Drosophila melanogaster: one gene and its partners. The protein of the gene in region 2 interacts with the protein of the main gene of each other region in a pairwise test. Each region holds a gene or a part of one and is shown on either strand. Other genes may lie near its edges.

The links.
Region 1: the proteins of Naa15-16 (region 2) and C901 interact in a two-hybrid assay, tested with the Drosophila melanogaster proteins (one large-scale study listed by BioGRID).
Region 3: the proteins of Naa15-16 (region 2) and CG9922 interact in a two-hybrid assay, tested with the Drosophila melanogaster proteins (one large-scale study listed by BioGRID).

What each region holds. Positions count from the first base shown.
Region 1 is NC_004354.4:10,963,526-10,971,103, forward strand, and holds C901 (C901), read right to left. Parts: upstream 3,610-7,578; 5' UTR 3,543-3,609; intron 3,030-3,542; 5' UTR 3,028-3,029; coding exon 2,890-3,027; intron 2,824-2,889; coding exon 2,685-2,823; intron 2,625-2,684; coding exon 2,466-2,624; intron 2,258-2,465; coding exon 2,066-2,257; intron 1,995-2,065; coding exon 1,934-1,994; intron 1,731-1,933; coding exon 1,600-1,730; intron 1,542-1,599; coding exon 682-1,541; 3' UTR 507-681; downstream 1-506. Other genes in the region: vex (vexed), read right to left, coding at 5,219-5,772, 5,867-5,943.
Region 2 is NC_004354.4:19,476,851-19,486,306, reverse strand, and holds Naa15-16 (N(alpha)-acetyltransferase 15/16), read right to left. Parts: upstream 6,324-9,456; 5' UTR 5,686-6,323; coding exon 5,629-5,685; intron 5,290-5,628; coding exon 4,801-5,289; intron 4,710-4,800; coding exon 3,922-4,709; intron 3,856-3,921; coding exon 3,428-3,855; intron 3,356-3,427; coding exon 2,703-3,355; intron 2,624-2,702; coding exon 2,366-2,623; 3' UTR 1,664-2,365; downstream 1-1,663. Other genes in the region: pcm (pacman), read left to right, coding at 1-46, 115-204; mRpS14 (mitochondrial ribosomal protein S14), read left to right, coding at 6,431-6,493, 6,554-6,877; CG32533 (uncharacterized protein), read left to right, coding at 7,050-7,623, 7,684-8,214, 8,269-8,639, 8,702-8,899, 8,968-9,456.
Region 3 is NT_033777.3:14,033,521-14,039,277, forward strand, and holds CG9922 (uncharacterized protein), read right to left. Parts: upstream 2,879-5,757; 5' UTR 2,410-2,878; coding exon 2,304-2,409; intron 2,163-2,303; coding exon 2,101-2,162; intron 2,032-2,100; coding exon 1,924-2,031; intron 1,759-1,923; coding exon 1,660-1,758; 3' UTR 1,498-1,659; downstream 1-1,497. Other genes in the region: CG3061 (uncharacterized protein), read left to right, coding at 1-400, 467-579, 642-805, 860-972.

The DNA of each region.
Region 1 (7,578 bases), 8.5 Mb from region 2:
ATTATTATTATTATTCGTATCGATATTGTATTGAGTCATTCTCTCTCTCTCCCATACTTCTACATATTTTTTTGTCGATTCGTAAGTCTCCCATACCAGTTACTACATATATTTATTAACGCCCATATGCAAGAGTCCATATGTATGTTTAGATGTCTATGATGTGCTGGTTTCCATATTCCAATTTTCGATACCCAATCCAATCGTACTACCCCCAACTCGGTGGCGCTAAGATGGCCATATAGATCCCCATTCAAACCCGAGCTCGTAGTCCCCCATTTGTCTTAAGTTTAAGCGAACCAAGTGCAATCCGAGTGCAGGAATTGAACTCCCACAGGCTCTGAGTCCAATCCTCTGGTCCCCTATTCATATTTCGATTCAACGATTTCTTGTAGCACTTAAGATTAGCAAACTTTAATAATATCATTTTTTTTTTTTGACATTTGTTAAATCGAAAATTGCTTAGCTTAATCCCTAAAATTATCATAAATAAATACAATTTATATATGTATATCTATCGCAATGGATGGAGTTTTTTAATTGGATGTTTCATTCATTAGTTAATAATAAATATTCAGAAAAAAAAAAAAATTGCTTTGAGATGCTGCATATGTGGGCCCTTAACTGAACAATGTGTATATATATATAAGAGGGATTACTTGTCATTTGTCAGGTTCTTAACTATATAATATTTGGTATGAGTTGATCGCTGTCATCCTCCTCGTCGTCCTCGTCCTCATCCTCCTCCTCATCGTACTCGCCATCCTCATCCTCCTCATCATCGTCGTCATCTTCGTCCTCCTCCTCGTCTGCCACATTTGGCTTATCCTTGTGGCTGGTCACGGATGTTGCGGCTGTTGTAGCCGTTGGTGCTGTTGTTGCTGTTACTGTTACTGTTCCAGCTGGCGCCAAATTTGCTATTGTTTGCTCCTGGCTAGCGACGATGGGCAGCGGGGGGCGTGGCTGAGGTCCTGTCGCTACCGACACGCTTGTTGCATTACCCTTTACGGTTTTTTCGCCAGATGTGAGGGGAATCGGGGTGGCACGCCTCGTTGTAACGGCGCTTAACGCTTCATTAGTCGCATTGTCGCTGCCAGTTTCAGTTGCCACCACCAATGTCGTCCTTGTGGCGTTGCTGTTGCCGGGTAGTGAATTCATGGGTCCTGCTCCAGCTCCAGTTCCTGCGGTTGCCACGTTGGCTACCGTGTCATTTTTCCGCCGCTCCGGCTCGTTACCCGCTGGCAACTTTTCTCCAACCAGCCCGCCTCCTGGCTCGCTGTCATCGGGCACACCTGCACCGATGTCCTGCTGCCCGTTCTGGTCCAGTTCGCCATCTAGTTCCAGTACGAGCTCAGCGGGTGTGGGCGGTGTGATTCGCGGTGGCGCCTCTGAGGTCAGCAGAAAGTCATCGCGTATCTCGCAGTTCTTGCCCAGAAATCCCTGCCGGCACTGGCACTGGTAGCTCCCATCCTCGCGACTCAGCGATGTGCACTTGCCCCCGTTTTCGCACGTATCCGGATGCTCCACGCAGTAGGTGAGCTCTGTGGGTCAACTCGGTCAATTTCCCGTTGGCATGGTCACATATACGGATATACTCACTCTCGTCGCACAGCATTCCGCCCCAGCCGGGATGGCAGTTGCACTCCCATGGCGCCTCGCAATCCCCATTGGCACATCCCGGATACGGGAAGCACTTGTCGCACTGGCTACCCGTCCAGCCCACCTTGCAGCTGGAGAAGAAGGGGATGTCCGTGAAAATTGATGACAGATATGGGTTCGTTTTGCTGTTAGTTTGCTGTTAGCTAACTGAGCCATAATGCTTGGGAATGTTAAATTAAGGATAAAAATAGTTGACTTATCCGAAAAGGGGCACTCCAGCTTGCCGAAACCACATTTTCTGCATTTTCTTTATTGAAATGCTGCTCCTACTTACCGGCACTCGCCAGGTTTGCGGCAATATCCGTGCTGCTTGCTGCAATCTGGGTCACAGATTGCTGGAATGGCGGAATGGAGTTTGGGATTAGTAGGGTGAATGGCGGATTCCTTTGGTGGTTGCAGGACTTACGCGTCTGGCAAAGTAGTCCGGTATATCCGGGTAGGCAGAGGCATTCCAGTGGCTTGTTGCAGGTGCCGTGCTGACAGCCCGGCATCGTGGCGCATTCGGAGCAGGTGCGTCCAGCATAACCAATCCGGCAGCGGCACTCCCCAGGCGCTTCGCAATATCCACGGGTGCTGTGGCATCCGGTACGGCAACTTGCTTTGGTTGCGCGCGGATTGGAGGAAACAGGCAATTGAGTAATCGGATTGGACAGAGTTAGGAATGTTTGATTTGATTGGAAATGTCATATAACAAGTACAACCCCCAAAACGATATTAGTTCCCTATGTTTTAACTCCTTCTCTAAATGCTCCGTTCTTTAAATGTAAGATTGTAATCAGGCTTATCCTTTTCCGGTAACTACTTACGTTCCGTGCAGAAGAGTCCCGCCCAGCCAGGCTTACAGATGCACTCGAATGGCTTGGTGCATCCGCCATGTTGGCAACCTGGAAGCGGAATGCACTTGTCGCAGAGTTCGCCGCTGTATCCGATGCGACACCTGCATTCACCGGGTCGCTGGCAATAACCTGTGTGAATGTGAGTTCAGGGGTCACAAGATAGGGAATCATCTGAAGGAGTAAACATACCATTCATCGGGTCACAGCCCCTTCGACACATAGGCACCTGGCAAAGATCACCCTGCCACCCAGGAAGGCACTTGAAGTCACCTTTTTCATCGCAAACATAGTGTGCATTTTGCCGCTGTTTCTGTGATTTCTCACAGGCCTTAGGTAATCGAATATTTTCGGAATTGGTTCGAGAAAATTATGAACGTTAGGTTCTCCAACTTACTCGCTGTTTCCAGAGTGGAATATTCGAATTACTACTTTGCCGCGCATCGAAGTTGCGTCTATAGGCATTCATTTCCTCCAATTTGAGGGCGGTAATCGCGGTCACCAGCAGGAGAGCCGCCTTTTTGTCTGACAACATATCTAAGTCCGATTTAATAATAATATAATAAGTGTTTGTTGTTTCTATTAATAAATATAATATTATTAATATTATACGTTTGACTACTCCGTTAAAATTCCCTGCAAATAATGGCTTTTATGTGTACATAAAAAGCAAGATCATCTAAGTCGGATCTAACGACCTCTTCACAAAAAAAGTTTCTTAGACTTTAAACCAACTTAATGTGCTGAACTTTATGACTGAATAAAGAAAACCTAAGTGTAGGCCTTGTCAAATGTCTAGATGTTTTCGATTATCGGCTTAAACGAAAAGTGTTTTCGTTTGGCCAAACTTAGACCGTTAAAAGAAATCGACGGCCCACGGCCCCTCGTCGCAATTAACATGTTTGAAGACAACTTTCTTCGCGGCCGAACCAAAAAGAACGGGAATCACACCGCCGACAGAGAACCCGACAACCAAACAACCGATTTCTTGATGAATCACCACTGGCGAGAAGAAATGAAACTTGAAGAATGCAAATGCAAAAGAATTACTTTTAACGGTTAAGACTGCAGCTTCTTGTCGTCGGTCCGTCTCGGTCTGCGATCGCTTTGGGACTAATCAAGTAGCCGCCTCGTCGGACCAGCTGCCTCTGGCCGATTCTCGACTCTTTCTTTAAGTCAAGTCAAGTCAAGTCTTCGCTCTTCTCTCTGTCATTCTTCTGGCCTTCACCGTGAACTCAAGCCTCGAAGCCGAGAGGCAAAGCCAGAGAAAGAGCGCTGAAAGGCACCTAACCGACCATTGGTGGTAATTGGGTCAACCGGTAAACCCAAAACAGCTGAGTACTCAAGCACAGTGGGTCCAGATATGGTTTTTATGGACCACTCTACACTTTGAAAAAGAAGAAAACTAGGAAAACTTGTACCACAAAATCAGGAAATAAATAAAATCTGAAACAATTTTAAATTAATAATGTAATTATACTATAAAGATCTATATGCCTACATATCCAATCTATTAAATGCTTTAATAGCATTAACTATTAAATGTTTCTTTTTATATGCCCAAAAACTATTTATTTTATTTTATTTTACAATTACTTTCGACCCACTGTGCAGCACTGACGATCGAGTCACCAAACAAGTTGTAGATAAACCAGGATGGCTCAAGACTCTAGATTGGTAAATGTTCAAAGACAACATTGGTTTACTTTAAAATTATACTCGTTCTTTATTGAATGATCTCATTATTGGTTTAATTATAATTATAATAATTATTTCGACATTCGTGTGTACCTAAAATCCAGATTAATACTAAGATCCAAACGTTAATTCCGACTCCAGAGGGTTGTCTGCCAGTTGGGTAACCAAAAATTGTGGGCCTTAATCATTTGCTTTTGACAAATGTATCATATATGTTATGTTATGTGTAGAACGTGTGTGTGCTATATGCTTGCGAGTCGGGGGGAACTAACGATTAGACAGATACACTCGTGCACATCCACATACATGTATATATAGGTTCTTTCACTACGCAGCTCGACTCCATTTTCACTGTAGATGTTATGCGGTATTTGATGACTTAGTCTCTAGTTTCTAGTATTATCCGATCCGAGATCCGAGCGTCTTCACAGACCCCCAGCATTTATATTGAGTTGTTGATTGGGTCCTGAGCCCAAATGCTTACACGCGAGTGTTTCCTTAACTAATTAGAGAAATGCTAACCGAAGGAAGTCCACAGCAGCCGTGATATCAATATGGTTATATGATGAATATCATGTGTGTGGAGGAGATCATAAGTCTTTGGAAGTTTTTTTTTAAATTTATAAAGTATCTAAGAGAGCAGAAGTTAGTAGTCCGAAATTGTAGAACCCCTCGAAAACTTCAGAAATATGTGATATTCCTCCATATATACCCTATATTTCACTGGCAGTGTATCCTTTATTTCCGGTTCTCTTCTCTAGCGAGACAAACAAAAAAAAAAATCCTGACCTCATCACACATACATATACATACATATGCTATGATCTTCTTAATCCACTGGCTTAATGTTTAAACGCTTACATACGATGGGGTACTTTATTGATTTTGGGCCGGAAGTGAGGGGGCGTGGCAGGGGCGCGGGTGATATGATATGATATGATGAGTGGGGGAGACCGTACACCATAACCTACACGGAGAAAAAAAAAAATGGACACCGCAACTTGAGTGGGCGGCATGACCACGTCGCCTTAGACGAAGATGAACTGGGCGTGGCCGCACTTCTTGGGCGGACCGACGGTCAGACGGAGCCATTTGCCGCGGCACGACGGCGCCGGCAGCGCGCTCCAACGTGTCGTGCGTCCGGCCAGCCCCTCCCCCCGGCAATGGTAGGTGGGCGGCAGCGTGGGCGAGGGCGTGGCCGGCACAGCGCTGCGCTTTCCCGCTGTCCGGCGGCTGTGCGACATTTGCGACATCTGCGACTGCCGCTGGTGACGGTAGTCGGTACTCTCGTTGCTGTCCGAGTCCAGGGCATTCTGCAGGTCATCCTGCTCATCCTGCTCCGGCTCCTCATCCTCCTCCTCCGCCTCGCCATCCTGATTGGTCGCCTCCTCTTCGCTGCTGGTCTCACGCTGCAGTCGCTCCTCCTCAAGGTCATCCGTACGCTGGCCAAAGGCAGAGGCTGCGGATGAAACTGTGGTCGTGGACGGCGTAGTGGGTCCTTGTGGTGTCCTGGCGGTGGTGGAGCTGCCGGCTGAGTCTTGGATCAATGCCTCAAGGTCACAGCGCACCGTGATGCGATCGCCTGGAAAATAAAACACAAGACAGTCAAAATATTATTTTACACATTTGATTGCATAAATATTAAATACTACTTTAGTTACTTTGATTTTTCTTACCTTCTGTCATCAGGTTATATGGCGGCAACTTGTTGCAGGCTTTAGATGATTTTATTACCTCGAATTCCACGCAGTATCTATAAAGAAAGTTTAAGAATAGCGCAAATTATTAATAATTATACAAAGAAGAGATGCGAATATCTTAATAATTTGCAAAACATTCAAATAGATTTAAAGATGAAATCGGTTTCACTGGCTAAATAATGCTTAATTAATTAATCCATCCTCATAATCTGCATCCTACGCCTTCGAAACGCTCGCTTATTTGGGTATTCACTCATTCAGTCGCTCATTGAGCGATTCATTCGTCCGTTTGGTCCTTCATTGATTATGCATGTCCTTCGGTGACGCCTCATTAGAGGAGCAAAGGATCTGGCTGGCCATTGAGATGTTAAATATTACAATTATTGTAATTCAGATTCAGATTCCATCAACGGACGCAAAGTAGACAGAAACAGCAGCAGGAGCACTGATTTGTGCAATTGTGCGGACTGAAGCGGGCTGCTGAATACAGGACTTCAAAGGAAGAGGAAATGCGAATTGTCTATTAAGCCTAACAATTTCCGTTTCCGTTAGGCAAAAAAGAGCAAAAACAAACATGGCAGGCGAAAAATCGAACTGACAAGTGCCTTTGAGTGTGTGGTGTGCGGGTGTGCGTGTGTAAGTGTGCAAGAGTGTCGAGAGTGTCTGTGTGTGCGTCTGACAGCTGTCAAGGTGTTGACAACGGAAATTGCGTAGGAAATTTCAAAAGTGCCCGACATTTTGGGGCATTTTTGATTTTACCTACCACTTTCCCACCCACCGGAAAGCCAGGCCACTTAACCCCAGGGCAAAAATAAAAAAGAGGGGAAACTCGTGGATATAGCCATATATAGCTAATATACGCTGGCTGCTGCTGCTGCTGCTGCTGCTGCTCCAATGATGAAGGCAGATTAGCCAGGATGCAGCGGAAATGGAAATTGACGTCGCACTCAGACCGCAGAAAACAAGACTCCCCCCCCCCAATGCCGAGTCATAAATAAAGAGAATTTGTATTAAAATGGGAGTCGCCATTGGAGATTGTGCGAGGCGCAGGGGAAACAGCTGAAAGCTTAATTAAGTCCCGGCATAAAGCGAACCGAAGGACCCTCTGCGCCCGGGTAATAAAGGTAAATTGAAAAAATTAATGTAAATAAACAGGCGCCGACGACGCGCCGAGTAATAAAAATAAACAAGGCAATGCACAAAACTCGAGGACCAAAACATAATTAAAGACAAGCAATTTTTGGGCCGGGGGTATTTGTCTGGCCAGGAAACGGAGGCAAAATCAGCAGCAGGACGAGGTCCTACAGCCACGGCAATCATAAAATAAAAAGCAATTGTTATGCTTGGCTTGCGGTGAGCGAAGGAATAGCCACTTATTATTAGCCAGTTCCAGGAAGGCGGTCTTGGCTAAAAATTCGCTCTAAAAGCCCACTGATTTATAAAAAAAAAAAAATGTGACGAGTTGTCAGCGATAAACGGATAATGAAGGGATAAAATGTAAAATGAACCACAAAGCTCAGAATTTTTAATTTATTAACTGATTAACCTTTTAAAGTGCACACAAATCAAAAAATGCAAAAGCACAGTAATTCAATTACAAATAATTGAAACATTATAATCATTTTAAAGTCACACATCAAAGAAAATATTTGATTGAGCGCGTTAATGGAGCTAAGTAAAAACGAATT
Region 2 (9,456 bases):
CTCAACAGGCAGTGCGAACGCGCCCACAGCAACGACATCATCCCAGGTAATGGAGGAGATAGAGATAGTTATTCTGCATAATTTACTCATTCCATTTACTCGCTTCTGTTGCAGGCGGTCAACCGAAGGAAGCATCGAGTGCCTCGCATCGGAGCCAAGTTCGACTTGGAATACATACTGCCCGACTCCCCGCATCCAACTTAAGAGCGAACAAATGGGTATTTTTAGGTTCAAATCCCACCTAGCTGAAGAAATGCAACGCTATTTGGATCTTATATCACCTTATTTCTATCTCTCCTAGTCTGTGCGAGGCACTAGAATTGCCGCACACGATAGATCATTTTTTTTTTAGAGTTGCGGATTATGTGAATACTAAAATGAGACTGACTCGTCTTTATATTTTTTCAATAAACTGGACTTTACCCATATTTTGTTGTTACTCGATAGAATGCCAAGCTGCATTGTGTAAATTAGCTTTTAAGAAGGATCTGTCCTATAAGACGTATTTTGTTTTGAATAAAGCTGTCAGTGCCACGCAATCTGTGGCTAATTTCAAATGTATTGAGCAATCTCGTTCGTGATTTGTTTACAATCTTTGAAAATCTAGTGAAGGCAGATCATTTCAATCATTTCTATCAATTTGTTTTGGCAATTAAAATTCAAATGTTTTCTTTTGAATTCAAATCGAAACTCTGCACGTGTCGCGTGAGCAAGGAGTCGCAAATTCCTAAGAAATCTCTGACCTGGCATAGTTTTTTCGCTAGTTGTCGGTCGCAGAGCCTTCAGCTAGAGAATTGCCAGATCAGGGAGGCTATCGAGCTAGCCCTGTGATTATACTGTATTCTTGAATTTGGAATTTTGAACGATTTTTTTTTTGACAGCTATCGTCAATTGCCACATGACTAAATCATTGCGAGCAGGTTATTCCCAAAACGTTGCACAGAAAAATGGCAGGTAGGGAAGAAATCTTTTCCTCAAGTGTGGTCATTATTCCATGGTTCTCTCTCGCTCAGAACAAGAACAGCAAGAAAAACAAGCAAAAAAACAGGAAAATAAACAAGAAAGAAAGCAAGAAAATAAACCAAAACCAAAACAAAAGCGCCGAGCAATAGCCCAGCCTTCACTTGAGGTCAAGCTGCAGATTGAGAAAAAGCTTTCCCAGCCAGGATGGGAGGGACAGAAGCGCTACATTACCTCGGCGGGATCAGCCACGCTGACAATCACCACTAACGCAAGGATTCCCGAGAGTTTCGTCAAAATCTGCCGACATAAGGACGCCGTTGGGGTGCAGTCGACCCCAACGCGGGCTCACTCGAGCTTTTGTCGTTTTAAAAGACTCACCTATAAGCCGCGTGTCCTCAATCTGACCGATGAACCCGAAGATTGAGAGCTCCTGCTTGGTCTGGTTTCAATAAATGATGGCGTCGTTGCGCTTACTTATTTAATCCTTAGTTCAAACTGCAATGGTTTCTATATAGGTCGTTAGTAGATATACTAAATGTAGGCGGCTCAATTGCGATGCTAAACCAGCGCAAGCTGCTCAGAAATATACTAGAATGGGCACAAGGACACACAACGCATCCAGTGGAGTCAGTCCTGCCGCTCCTACTCTGCTCAATACAATGCGGTTTAGAATTAGAAGACTTGTCGTTGTGTACGAATTAAGGTTTTGATTTGCGTATAATTAATTACGACTTCATATGTACATACAATGCATTCGTTAAAAATAATAAAAAATAAGGTGTTGTTAAGAAAGCCAGCGGGTGTTGTCAACAAAGGTTCGTTCCGTTTGATTCAGTTTTCGAAATCCCACAACAGTGGATACAACAACTTGGTTAACTACATGGTTCGCGGTGACGAACGTTCGACGTGCGAATCCCACATATCACCTCCGCACCATTTCGTACCGGATTCCTATTCCTATTCCTCATCGACTCGTCCTCGTCCGAAACCATTTTGTAGGATGCTGTGTGACGGATGACGACGGGATGTGTTCTCAGGTGGCAGACTGGTAGGTGCCACGCACAAGGGCACAGCGCCAAGCCAACTGCCGCCTCAGATCTGATCCGTACCGGTCCAATCCGATCCGATCCGATCAGATAAACTCGGCCATGCCTAGAGCGGCTTGGCGTCCTCCTCATCAGAGCACTTGGTTTGTTGTTGTTAATAGTGAATTTTATTGTGGTTGCCGTTGTTTATAGAGCTAAGCTTATTCCTGTTCATATTGTTGGTTGTTAGTTAGGTTCTTCGCTTCACTTTTCGTTATTGTTGCTTTTGTTGTGTTTGTTGGTGTGGTGGCCGCAGATCTGTTGTTGCTGTTACTAACTTCTCGGGCCCGGGTATTAGTTAGTAGTCTTGTTTGGTCCTAAGACGCTGCCGCTGCCGTGGCCAAAACAGACACCGGTTCACTAGAATCAACGTGAATCAGCTGCTGCTGCTCTTCCTCGGCGCGCAGCTTGGCGGCCTCCTTCTCCTGCAGTTGAGCCTCCAGCTCCTCGACATTGCGAAAGATGCGGGCGTACTGGAAGCGTTGGTGGCACGCCTGCTGGTAGGAAGCGGCCTCTGCCTCGCACTCGCCAAACACATCGCCGTCCCGCAACGCTGTGTAGATTTTGGTGGCCTCCTGCGGAACACAATTCAAAGAGCAAGGATCAACAGGGGGCCAGTCAGTGGGTGGAGAAATGGGTTTGGCAGTCACTTACCTCCAGCCGGAGCTTGGCCAGGTTGAAGCTAGTGACCAGCTTGATGGCGGCAGCTTTTTTACTATTGTCCAGTTCGTACAGACTGCGTGCGCCCTCGTATAAATGCAGTATGGAAGCGTTGTGTTTGGCAATAAACTCATCGTTGAGCTGCTGGGGCGTCTTGCTGCCTATCAGTTCTTTGGTGGCCTTCTCCAGCACCTGCTGCACGTGCTCATTGAACGGCTGCTCCTTGGCGGCGCTGGTCAACGATTTAACGAAGCGAATAATGCAGCTGTGGATTACGGGGTGCGAGGCGTCGACGGCGCGAGCGCGCCGGATGCACTGCAGCATAAGGAGCAGTTTGTTCTTGCGGTAGTACAACTCGAAGGCCAGCAGATGCGTCTCGATGCGCTCCTTAGCCAGCTGCTGCAGCGGTTTCAAGAATTCAATGGCCTTGTCCAGCGGATCGTCCGTGCGCTCCAGCTTCTCGGCCACCAGCTCGTCCAACTGCGGAGCATCGGGGTCGGTCTCCTGGTTTGCCTGCTGTTTCGATTTCTGGTGCTGCTCGCGCTTCACCTGCGCCTGTGCGGCCTGCGCACTCTCCAGCTCAGCTTTCTTCTTGGCCTTGCGCTGTTTGCTGCGCAGCTTCTTCAGTTCTGATGGCGGCAGGTTCTCTGTAACGAAGAAAGGCGGTCATACAGCTAACTAGAACGAGCAAGGGAGCTAGTGGGGTAATGTCCACATACCAATGTCAATCTCTTCAATGGTTGTCTCCGACTTAAGCGGCTTGTCGTACAGACGAATGTACACCTCGATGGCGCACTTGGCCGCCTTGAAATAGAATGGATGCTGGCGTAGCACGTCCTCCAATCGCAACAGGCCAACGTAGGCGCGCAGCGTCATTTTACGCATGCAATAGGTGTGGAAATCGAACTGGTCCTCGACGATTTCGGCAAAGTGGCGCTCCACCTCGTGGCACTTCTTCAACGACTCGCCCCAGCGACCCATGCGCTGATAGGCCAGGGCACACTCCGTCTGGAACCACATGCACTGCATCTCGTTCAAGTTGTCCATGGCGGAGACACCCTCGCGAGTGAACTTGGCGCAGATCTCCTCTGCCTCCTGCACCATGTTGGCGCGCAGCATGTACTTCGCGCACTTCGAATTGATGTAGCTGAGGGGAAAACATTGATGGTTACATGGTTCAGCAGGTCTATGCTAGTCCATGGGGCTCACTCACCGATCTGCCGTGTCCATGCTTTGGGCCTCCTCCAGCCAGACGTACGCCTCCACGGGATCGCCAGCATGCTTAAAGATGCGACCCTTGGTGATAAGCAGCTCAATGAGTGTTGGCGTATGGTCGATAGCCACATTGATGTACTCCAGAGCGCGGTCCGTATCGCGCATGTAGTCGTAGTGCTGCGCCAGAAACAGTGCCGTCCACACCAGCGCCGAGGCCGGCTCGACGGGAATTCCGGCGTCGGCATCTTCGCGAGAAAAGTGGCCGGAACGGGTAAGGTTCTCGAAATACTGCAGCGCCAGCTCCTCGATAACGGCCGCCCTCTCCGGTATCTGGTGCAGAGTGCGCACGTTGACAAATAGCGGCGGAATGCCCTTACGCAGACCGCGGCGCAGGTACTCGTCGGTCACGACGCGAAACTCGTCGCCGTTGGCGATGTTCAAAGGCAGGCGGCGAGGGCACAGGGCGCGCGGATACTGCTCCTGGAACACGCGATAGATCGACACCACGGCGCTTGAGTCGGTCACCTGGCGGGCGGCAATGTACTGCTCGTAGTAGAGCACATTCTCCGGATTGCGGCGGATCAGAGACTCAAAGATGGGCACTGCCTTCTCCTGCTGCTGCAGCTTGATGTACAGATCACCCATGGTCTCGCGAACGGCCAGCTTGTCGACGATCTGGCCCTGGTATTTGGTCAGGTGGTCCACGGCCTGCTGCAGACGATTCGACTCGATGAGTATCTGGTTCTGGTAGAGCAGCAGCTCCGAGTGCCGATAATCGTGCGCCTCCTGCCCACGGAGCAGAGACATGGAACAAGAAATACGAGCATTTTATTGAATTGGAATATAAAATTGAATCGGCAGGCAGCTGGATACATACAATCGACGTTTGCGACTGGCTGAACGTCTCCAGGATGCTGTTGGCCATGTCGTAGTCACCCAGCAGATGGTAGCTCATGGCGAAACCGATCCAGGAGGCGTGCTGCGAGGGACGCAGCGTGAACAGGTGGTGGCGCGTCTCCTTGTAGCCCTCGAGGTCGCGCATTTGGATCTGGAGAAGCGACAGGTCCTTCAGGATCTGCAGGTTATCCTTCTCCCACTTGAGCGCGTTGCGGTAGCACTTGATGGCCTCATCGTACTTCTTGTCGCTGCGCTGGAGCAGTCCGTAGACGTGCCAGCAAACGTGGGAGCGCAGGTCGTTTCGCAGACCCAGACGCACATACTTGTAGGCCTCCTCGCGGCGCCCCAGTCCGTTCAGAGTAAGCCCCTTCATGGCCAGCGTCTCGCCGTGCTCCATGTACTTGGGGTTGGACAGGATCTGCTTGGCCAGTTTAAGGCCATTTTTGTACTGCTTCAGTTCGTAGCATTTCTGTTTGATAAGAAAGCACAGAGAAGAAAGGTTTTAGTCAAAGTTTCTCGCATCCCGCGCAGCGCGAATTTTGAGGTTATGAGACCAGCGGGCCGACCACAAACGTCGGCGGTTGAGCAGAGCTGTGCAATCGCCCGCTGAAGCCACACATCTCGAGCAGCGGAGGCATCGCCTCCGGATTGCTTCTGCCAAAAATAGGCACTCTCCACCTGACTTCGGCTAAAAAGCACATGGATGCCGAAGCCGGCCAAAGGCACGAACAAAGGGAGGGGGCGGCACAGTTGTGGTATTAAGGGAAGGGGAAGGTATGGGACAGTAGGGTCACCTAGACCGGCTTACAAGTAGCTTGCGGAAGAGCGCGCCCTCCTTGGGCGGCAGGGGATCGCTAGAAGGCATCTCTGCAAGGCTGCGGCTGCTCCTCTCTTCGGCCTGCTGCTTCTTCTGCTTGGTCGTTCTTGTTCTTCCTCAGCTGCTGACTGGGACTGGGTTTTCGCCTGGCCGTGAATTGCACCGGACTGCGGGATCTGTGGATCAGCGAGCTGAGCTGAGTTGCGATGCCTCTTCTGCTGCTGCTCGGAAGCGGAGCTGGACTCGATTGGCAGTCTATACGGAGTAGACACACCACACACACAAGGCGAAAACGGCGAACGGCAAACTGCGGGCACGAGCAAATTTCTAAATCGACGTGAGACGACCACACACACCCACACTGGCAAGCTCGACTGTGCACATGCACGCACTGGCGCACGCACACTGGCACACGTGTTCACGCGCTTCGCGGCGAATGGTAACAGCAATTGTACGCCACTGCGAATGGGTGTGAACGCGCTCGTTTTGAATCGCGCTGCTAGGCGGTTATGTAAAGCGAGTGAATTGTTAATTAAAACTTATTCCGAGAGGTCGAAAGTCAGCCGGCTTTCCATGTTTTAACCTTATAGATTCCACACCGCATGCTTCGCCATCGTATTTTTCATTTAAATTACCCAGTTCTCGTATACGAAAATAATAGGCAATAAATTTGCAATTCACTGTATGGGCTCATCAGCTGTTGCCTATCGATAGTCCCGCGCGTTAATAACCGACACTATAGCGAACAAAGTAAAGAGGCAAAAAGAAGAAGAGCACCACCGAAAGCAACAACATGAATTCTCTGGCCAGGATCGGGGGTTTTGTGTGCCAGTCCGTGCAAATAGCCGGCTGCGGGGTAAGTTAACATCGTACTCCTAGCTAAGCGAACATAATATCCAGCCCATTGTCTTAACAGCTGCAGCAGGTGCGCACAAAGTATGCCGATTGGAAGATGATTCGCGACGTAAAGCGGCGCAAGTGCGTCAAGGAGAACGCCGTGGAGCGGCTGCGAGTCAACTCGCTGCGCAAGAACGACATCCTGCCGCCGGAGCTACGCGAGGTAGCCGACGCCGAGATCGCTGCTTTTCCTCGGGACTCATCGCTCGTCCGGGTGAGGGAACGCTGCGCGCTTACGTCACGTCCGCGCGGAGTTGTCCACAAGTACAGGCTCAGTCGAATCGTGTGGCGCCACCTCGCCGACTACAATAAGCTGTCCGGCGTCCAGCGCGCCATGTGGTAGCATCTTCTGTTAGCAATCTAGGGAAATAAACCTTGTTAGTAGTCATCCACATTCCAGAATTGTGTTATCGGCTTGGGTTCTTGCACAGCTGACCGTTTATCGGTAGCAGTGTTATCGTTTGCTGTGGGAAGAAGTAAATACAAATTTTAGGAACTATTTTGCTTCGGTGAAAATGTCTCGGATAAAGAAGAAGGCAGATGAACATGCCTCCAGCCGCCGCAGGACTCAGATCAATCTGATCGAGTTCAGTTTCTTGGATCACAAGGCGGAGCTCGTGGGCCTGCTGCAGGCCAAGAGCCGCCAGGTAGGCAGGAGTCTGGTGGAGAACGAGGCTGACTTCTGGAAGTTCGTGGGCAAGTACGAGGCTATGATGCGCTCCACGGGCCAGCCCGTGCTGCCGCCTCGACTCGCGGAGGCGGAGCTGAGCAGCATGCAGCCGTATCACCGCAGCAAGCACTTGGCATTGCGGCTGGACGCTGACGAACTGCTTCAGGAGGCGCGCGACCAAATGCAGTCCCAGTTTCGTCATATCTTGCTGGTGTACTTAGACTTCCGCCAGACGGAAAAGTTCCAGCGTATCCGAAAGCTGCGGCAGACACAACGCAATCTACCCATTGCTCGCTTCCGGAAGGACTTGCGCGAGGCACTGGACACGTCCCGCGTGGTCATCGTGGCCGGTGACACTGGCTGCGGCAAGTCCACACAGGTGCCCCAGTATCTCTATGACTTTGGCTACCGCAGCATTGGTGAGTATGCGGCTTCCCATTGAGGCTGCCTTACCAATGATCGACCTTTTGTTGCCCTAGCTTGCACCCAGCCGCGCCGTTTGGCCTGCGTCTCCCTGTGCAAGCGCGTTGCGCACGAGCTGCTGGACGACTACGGCAGTCGGGTGGCATTCCAGATCCGATTCGAGCGCAGTCGGACGAAGCTCACCAACATCCTTTTCATTACGGAGGGCTTGTTGCTGCGGCAACTAGCGGTGGCCGCCAACCTAGACCAGTACGATGCCCTGATTTTGGACGAAATCCACGAGCGCAACTTATTCGGTGACTTTCTACTGGGTGTTACCAAGTGCTTACTGAGGGCGCGGCCGCAACTGAAGCTGATACTCATGTCTGCCACCATCAACGTGGAGCTCTTCCACGGCTACTTCGGCGAGGAGGGCGCACGGCTGGTCCAGGTGCCGGGACGTTTATTTCCCATCAAACTGCGCTATCTGCCGCCTCCTGCACTGGAACTAAAGGCGGGACAGGCGACATCCAAACGCTCTCAGAGAAACCGCATCGATCCAGCTCCATTTGTCCAGGTGCTTAGCCTTATTGACCAGCAGTATCCGAGTGAGTTTAGTTATCATGTTCTTGTAGGGATCGCCTAATAATCATCTTACCTAGCCAGCGAGCGCGGTGACGTCCTTATCTTCGTTAGCGGCGTAAACGAAATCGAATCTGTTGTGGAGGCCGTTCACGAGTATGCCACCGAACAGACTCATTGGCTCGTCCTGCCGCTGCACAGTGGCCAGGCGATCGCGGACCAGAGCAAGGTGTTTGACTACGCACCCGAGGGCATGCGCAAGTGCATTGTGTCCACCAACATAGCCGAAACGTCGCTCACCGTGGACGGCGTGCGGTTCGTGGTCGACTCTGGCAAGGTCAAGGAGATGAACTTCGACGCAACCTGCAAGGGCCAGCGTCTGAAAGAGTTCTGGGTGTCCAAGTCGTCTGCGGATCAGCGCAAGGGTCGTGCTGGTCGCACGGGACCAGGTGTAAGCTAGAACCTAACCCACGGTTGCTCCATTTCTCATACATTCCCACTTTCCGAGCGCAGGTCTGTTTTCGGCTCTACACTGCGGAGCAATACAACGCCTTCGAGGCATATCCCACTCCGGAAATTTACCGCGTGCCGCTCGACACGATGCTGCTGCAGATGGTGTCCATGGGATTGCCCGACGTCCGGGCCTTTCCATTCATAGAGGCCCCGGAAACGGAGCGCATCGAGCAGACTATTCTGGCGCTAAAGCAACACGTGAGCATTTCACCGATACCCAACTGTGTAGACCCCAATTCAACCGGACTTCTAATCTCTAATTGCAGTGCGCCCTCAGCGTGGAGGAAAAGATCACACCGCTGGGCAGATCGCTGGCCAACTTGCCCGTAGAGCTGTCCATCGGCAAGATGCTGCTTATGGGCAGCGTGTTTCCCGAGGTGGAGCAGCTGCTGACCCTGGCCGCCATGCTGAGCGTGCAGAACCCGCTGACGAATCGTGCCCACACAGACCAGCGCTGCGTGCGCGAGCGGGAGTCTCTGGAGTCCGATCATGGCGACCTCTTCACCCTGGTGCGACTCTACAACGTGTGGGTGCAGCTGAAGATGCGGCGCGATGGCACTCGACAGTGGTGCCGTCGCTTGGGCATCGAGGAGCAGCGCTTCTATGAGGTGACCAAGCTGCGTCAACAGTTCCAGCGCATCCTCGAGAGCTGCGGCATGGTGGTGGCCAGCGATTCGGACTCCCAGTTGACCAGTGCCGAGCGCGCAACGCGACATGGTGAGCTGCGCCAGCTGAAAGCCATGAAGCGCCGCCAG
Region 3 (5,757 bases), on a different chromosome or scaffold from region 2:
CGAAGTACTGGGCGTTAGCAAGACGGCCACTGATTCGGAGATCAAAAAGGCCTACAAGAAGCTAGCTCTGCAATTGCATCCCGACAAGAATAAGGCTCCTGGTGCGGTGGAGGCTTTCAAGGCTCTCGGCAATGCTGCTGGCGTACTTACGGATGCCGAAAAGCGCAAGAACTACGATCTGTATGGCATCAATGAGTCGCACAATGGTCACGGCAACAATGGTGGCGGACACCATGGACACGGGCAATACTACAACAACGAGTATGGATATTCGCGTGGATTCCAGGCTGACATCAGTGCCGAGGAGCTGTTCAACATGTTCTTCAACGGCGGATTCCCACAGCAGAATGTCCATATGCGGCAGCAGCGACGTCGTCAGCAGGCTCGCGAGGATCGAGAAGTAAGTGTACCGAGTCGAAATCATTTGTGCACATTATAAACGACTGCCTTTTATCTCCATATCAAGGGTAACAACTCTTCGGCCTTGGTAAACTTGCTGCCCATCGTGCTGCTCATTGGACTCTCCATGATGTCGTCCTTCTTCATCTCGGACCCAATGTACAGCTTGACGCCCTCTCAGTAAGCAAACCAAATTAAAAATTAGCTTAGCACTAATGTGGATTCATTTCTCTAATCCGCAGTAAATATTCGGTGAAGCGTGAGACGAACTCCCTGAAGGTACCATACTACGTAAAGGACAACTTCTATTCAGAATATCAGGGATCAGTGGCCCGATTAGAGGAATCCGTGGAAGAGGACTTTGTGAATCATCTAAAACACTCCTGCAGTCGAGAGAGGAATTATCGTAAGTTAGGCAGAGGAACTATACTAAACTGATATTAACATAAACGATTTACAGGCGACTCAATGCTGGCCAAGGCGCGTACCTTTGGCGATCGGGATCTGTACAGAAAGGCGCAGAACATCAATACGCCATCGTGCGAGAATCTGCAAAAGTATTTAATCACATAAATTAGTTAATGCTATCACACGAAAAGCTACTCCTCAAATCCACCACTATTTGAAACCTTAACTGCTGGGTTGTGTAGTTATTGCATATTTTGCTTTAGTTGTTATAAATGAATTTCATTGTCTATTTTGTTTCATAATTTATATGTCTATTTAAATACCTTCCCTCTCTCCCCCAAAAAAAAAAATGAAACGGAATGAAACGTATAGAGCTGCTATGAGGCATCAGGTTTTCCCCAATAACGTTTGGTAGCATTTTCATTTCGTATAGAAAGCAATCGGGCAATATGTGAAAGCGAAGCAAACGCAACTGCCAAAAAGTCATATTTACACGATTTACGAATATAAGTGGGCGGCTGAGACGAAGGACTTTGCGTTTGTTTCATTTAGCAATCGGATACATAAATTATAAACATAAATTATACACGGATACGACGCATCATCACATTTTTCTTAAGGACACGGAACGCATGGGCAGTGGCGATATTCTGAATAAAATTGCAAGTTATTATAACTCCAAAATAAATTCGTTTAGACGATGTAAGCACTCTCACTCATTTGTGGGCTTAAAAGTCTTTTTGTTTTGTATTGTTTTCTTCGCTAGAGTTTATAAATGTACAAATAAAGCAGTGTGTTGTTACGCTACATAAAAGAAACAGACGGCGGATTGCTTCGGATTCCACGAGCACCTCAATTGCTGATGATGGCTTCCAAGGCGGCCACCACATCGCCGCTCTGCTCGCGGAGCACTTTCTCGGCATGCGCCTTGCTAACCAGCAGCTCGTTCATCTGAAAGGGCAGAGGGGAAGGAAACCATTACAAAAGGAAGATCGGAAGAAAGTTATCTATGGGAAACCAAAGGAGGAAATCTAAGGGAACTGGAGCTAATGCAATGAACTATATTTGTATCTCTACAATGAAAGGGAATACTTCCTTGTAGTTTCGCATACGTACAATCAGTTCAATGTCCTCCTTCTTGACTTGGACCTTCTGGAGCTCCTTCTCTTTGGCTACTCGCAGTTCGTTCTCCTTGTTACGCTGGTTGCCAAACTGCTCCACGGCCTGTAAATTATAAAAAAAAAGGATGTTGTTAATACAAATATTGCCTTGCTAATAAATATATGAACTTACGCTGGATATATTGTCCGCAGAGATCTCCTTTTCCTCGGCATAATCCGTCACACGTTCCAAATCTAAAAGCAAGATGAAGTTTTAGTATTAATACTCCATATTTATTAAGGATTGGTGCACAATACATGATATTTCATAGATGCCAGTCATTTTTTTGCAATTTTTCAGTGGAATGAGTTGCGGCATGTGAAATATTTATTTACCTGCGGCGCCGTCGTCATGTCGTTTCACATCGGATTTCTTTTGCTTTTTATCCTGCTCGTCATCCTCCACTTCTTCTCTGCCGTTGATTTCCGCTGCTTCCGTCATTTTCAATTGTTTTTTTTTATGTTTAATTCAATAAAAGTTCCGAAATTCTTTGCGATTTCTTCACCTCGTGCGATTAGAGATGGACTACTAGCGATAACACAATCGACATAATTTAACTAATAATCTATGAGTGTTTGCTTGGCTTTTATTGTAATAGTTTTTGAAGTTTTTTATGTAATTTCGAATTTGGAAATTGTGTATTTTCAATATGCACTTAGCGCTGTATTAAATTAATTGCATTTATGCTGCGTGTCAGCGTTGCCACCTGTCTGTTTTTGATCGAAAGCGACAGCCCTGTTTCAAAAGGCGCGCAGTTTGAAAAGTGTGCTTCAACAATTGTACACTTCCAACCAAAGAAACAGTAAAATCATCAAAACGCCAAGAAATAGTGTCATATTGTTAAACAATAAATTAAACGAAGTTGATTTTGACAAGAAAGGCGAGGAGAGGAGAGCAGTTAAAAGTTGACCCCACAAGTTTTAAGCAAAACATTGACACATCTTTCTTTAAATTTAAAGTCAATGCTAAAGTTTTTAACCGCAAAACTAATTAAAAATGTCTAGCACATGCAACGTAAGTAACTGCTTTTGGCGCTTTGCTCGTTTCTTTCGCACATTCCCAATTTTTTTGTGCTGCGGTCGAAATGTTAATTATAAGTTTGATGCTCCGGCTATAATTAGATTTTGAAGCAGTAGAGACATGCATACTTCTCTGCTCTGATGTGCGACATCCTTTTTTTAGTTCAGCTCCCCCGCCGCTCCTCTAGTCCACTGTGTGTGTGTGTCACTGTGTCCTGTGTGTCCTGTTGACATAATCGTTTGCCATCATGATTAATTTAATTGTCACTTTGACGTAAAGGACACTCACAGTTCCTCCTGCTTGCGTGCTTTTGCCCGGTTTGAAAATCAAGATTAATTAGCATCCATGACCATGGGCGGTCAACATCATTTGTTAGGGGGCGTGTGCGCAGATGGGGGGTTGGTTTGCACCAAAAAAAAAAAACGGGGGATCCACGGGGTGGCGACATATGTGCACTGCATTTAATTCGATTTTATTTCGGCAGCTCCGGATTTTTCATCGGAATTTCGCATGCGGAGCGCAAGTGATCGGAAAATGAATAAGAAATGTGAAATGTGGGAATTTTTGTGGTTTTAACTCAGTCACACAGATACCCTTTAAAAGTGGAAATATCTGTTGAGAAAGTGAAAAAGTCATTATATAAACAATTTGTAGTTCGCTTAATTAAGCTTAAATAAAAGTAATTTTCTAATCAATGACAATTTTATGACTAACAGTATTTGAAAAATAAATAATAATACTTATTTAATATATCAACTAATTTACCTTTTTCTTTTGAAGAGTACGCAAAAGGGTTAAATGCATTTTGTTTACCCGCGCAATCTCAGCTCAAACGAAGCATATGCGATTGGCAGCAACAGGCATTGCATTTGCATTTGCATTGTTAGCCCAGTTCTCATTTTCCATTTTTCCATTTTCCCCGATTTTTCACCACTCGCTTTCCCCATTTTTTTTCTCCCCGTTTTCCGTTTGCCAATTGGAAATTAAATTATGGTGCTAATTAGCGCAGCACATAAATTAAGTTGCCAATTTCGGTTGCCATTGTGGTTGGCAATGGCAAATTGAGCGTTGCATATCCACAGGGGCATCCTGTTCCTTTTACTGTGTGTTAGTGTGTGTGTGTGTGTGTGTGTGTGAGTGCTTGCGTGTGTGTGTTGGTGCTGGCACCCGAAAATTCACACAGTATCTTTTCTTTTTTTTTTTGCCATTTTTTCGGGGTTAAATTCGCTTGCGTGACGTAATTTAACTTGCATTGTCTTCGCGAAGGGCAAACATTTTGTTCGAATTTGTTGTTTTCCCTTCTGGTGGTTACTTTCTGCGTTTTACACTCGGTTTTATTGTTTCTTTTTTTCTTTTTGTTGCGGTTTCTGTTCTTTTTATGCCAACTTTTTAAGTGTGCAAAATAGATACAAAGATAGCACAGACGACAGGCCATAAATGAGTTATCAGGATTGTGTAATAATTTAAGGCGCTAGAAATGCAGATACATATATGTTTTAAAGGGATTTAGACACTTAAAAATATATGACATGTGTAGATACTTTAAAGAGTACAAGCTTTAATTTATTTGTTTTTTTTTCTGTTATATTTAGAACTTTCTGCTCTCTTGTCTTTCCGTGTTTTAATTACCAACACCCGAATGTAAATTTTGTTGATTATCAATTTGGAAATGCTCGTTGCCAATTTAATTCAAGAATTTGGCAATGAACATGTGTTCAATTTGCCACACCTCCATCAAAAATCAGCATTTCTGCTGGCTTCCTGCTTCATTTTGGGGCATTCCCTTCACGAACTGAATGCAGAATGCAATTGGCTGCACATACAGACGAGTTCACAATACTAGCAATGAAAATACAAAATTATAAACTTTTCTGAAAAATCAAACTGTATGATGGAGTAATAAAGATATTTGCTAGCTAACAAATATACATATATAAATTTTTTCAAATTCATATTTATTTAAGTTAAAGTGTCCTTTGTTTCAATACATTTTTGAGTCGAAATTTGTGGCACCTGCTGTTTAATATGGCACTTGTCTGCGTGATTTTCAGGATGCCACGGGTCGTGTCGTCTGTGGCCAAATGACATTGGGCTGTTGGCATTCGTGGCCAGTCAGTCAATAAATAAATTAGCATAGCAAATAAATTAAGAAAATGCAATTTTCAAGAACTGTTGCACAGACGACGCGCCCTGCCACGAATTTTCCATTCAAATGTGCGATTCAAGGACGGTCTTTAAATTTGTTTGGTTCAACTTTTGAAGGCGGCGAACGTTGGCGTTTCTGGCTCATTGCATGCATAATTGGCTAACAAACTCAATTACGCTAATAACACTCGAAAGCCCGGCTCAAATCCAGTGTGTGTCCTTAAATATTTATGTCTATGGGTGAGCGCGCTTGACTGACGCCACGAGAAATTATCCTTGTAGCAGAAAAAAAAAAAAATAGAAGAACAAAACCAAAACCGAAATCAAACCAACTCAACTGGAGAAGAAAAAACGAGGATTGGGGCAAATAATTGAGCCATTGAAGGCGCTCCAATGGTCAGCAAAAGTTCCAACAGTTGTAACAGATAGCGAAGTACGAAAAGTTGCTCCTTGCAAGGATACTTTCAGCCGGCGGGGATTGGGATGGGGACTTGGGACTATCCTTGAGGTAGCTGAGCTTGTGTGGCGAAGGCGACCTATTGACGACCTTTATCGTGGTGTACATAAACCATAATCGCAATTGGCAAGTGGTCGCCACTCGAGGAAGCATCCTTTTGGCCATTG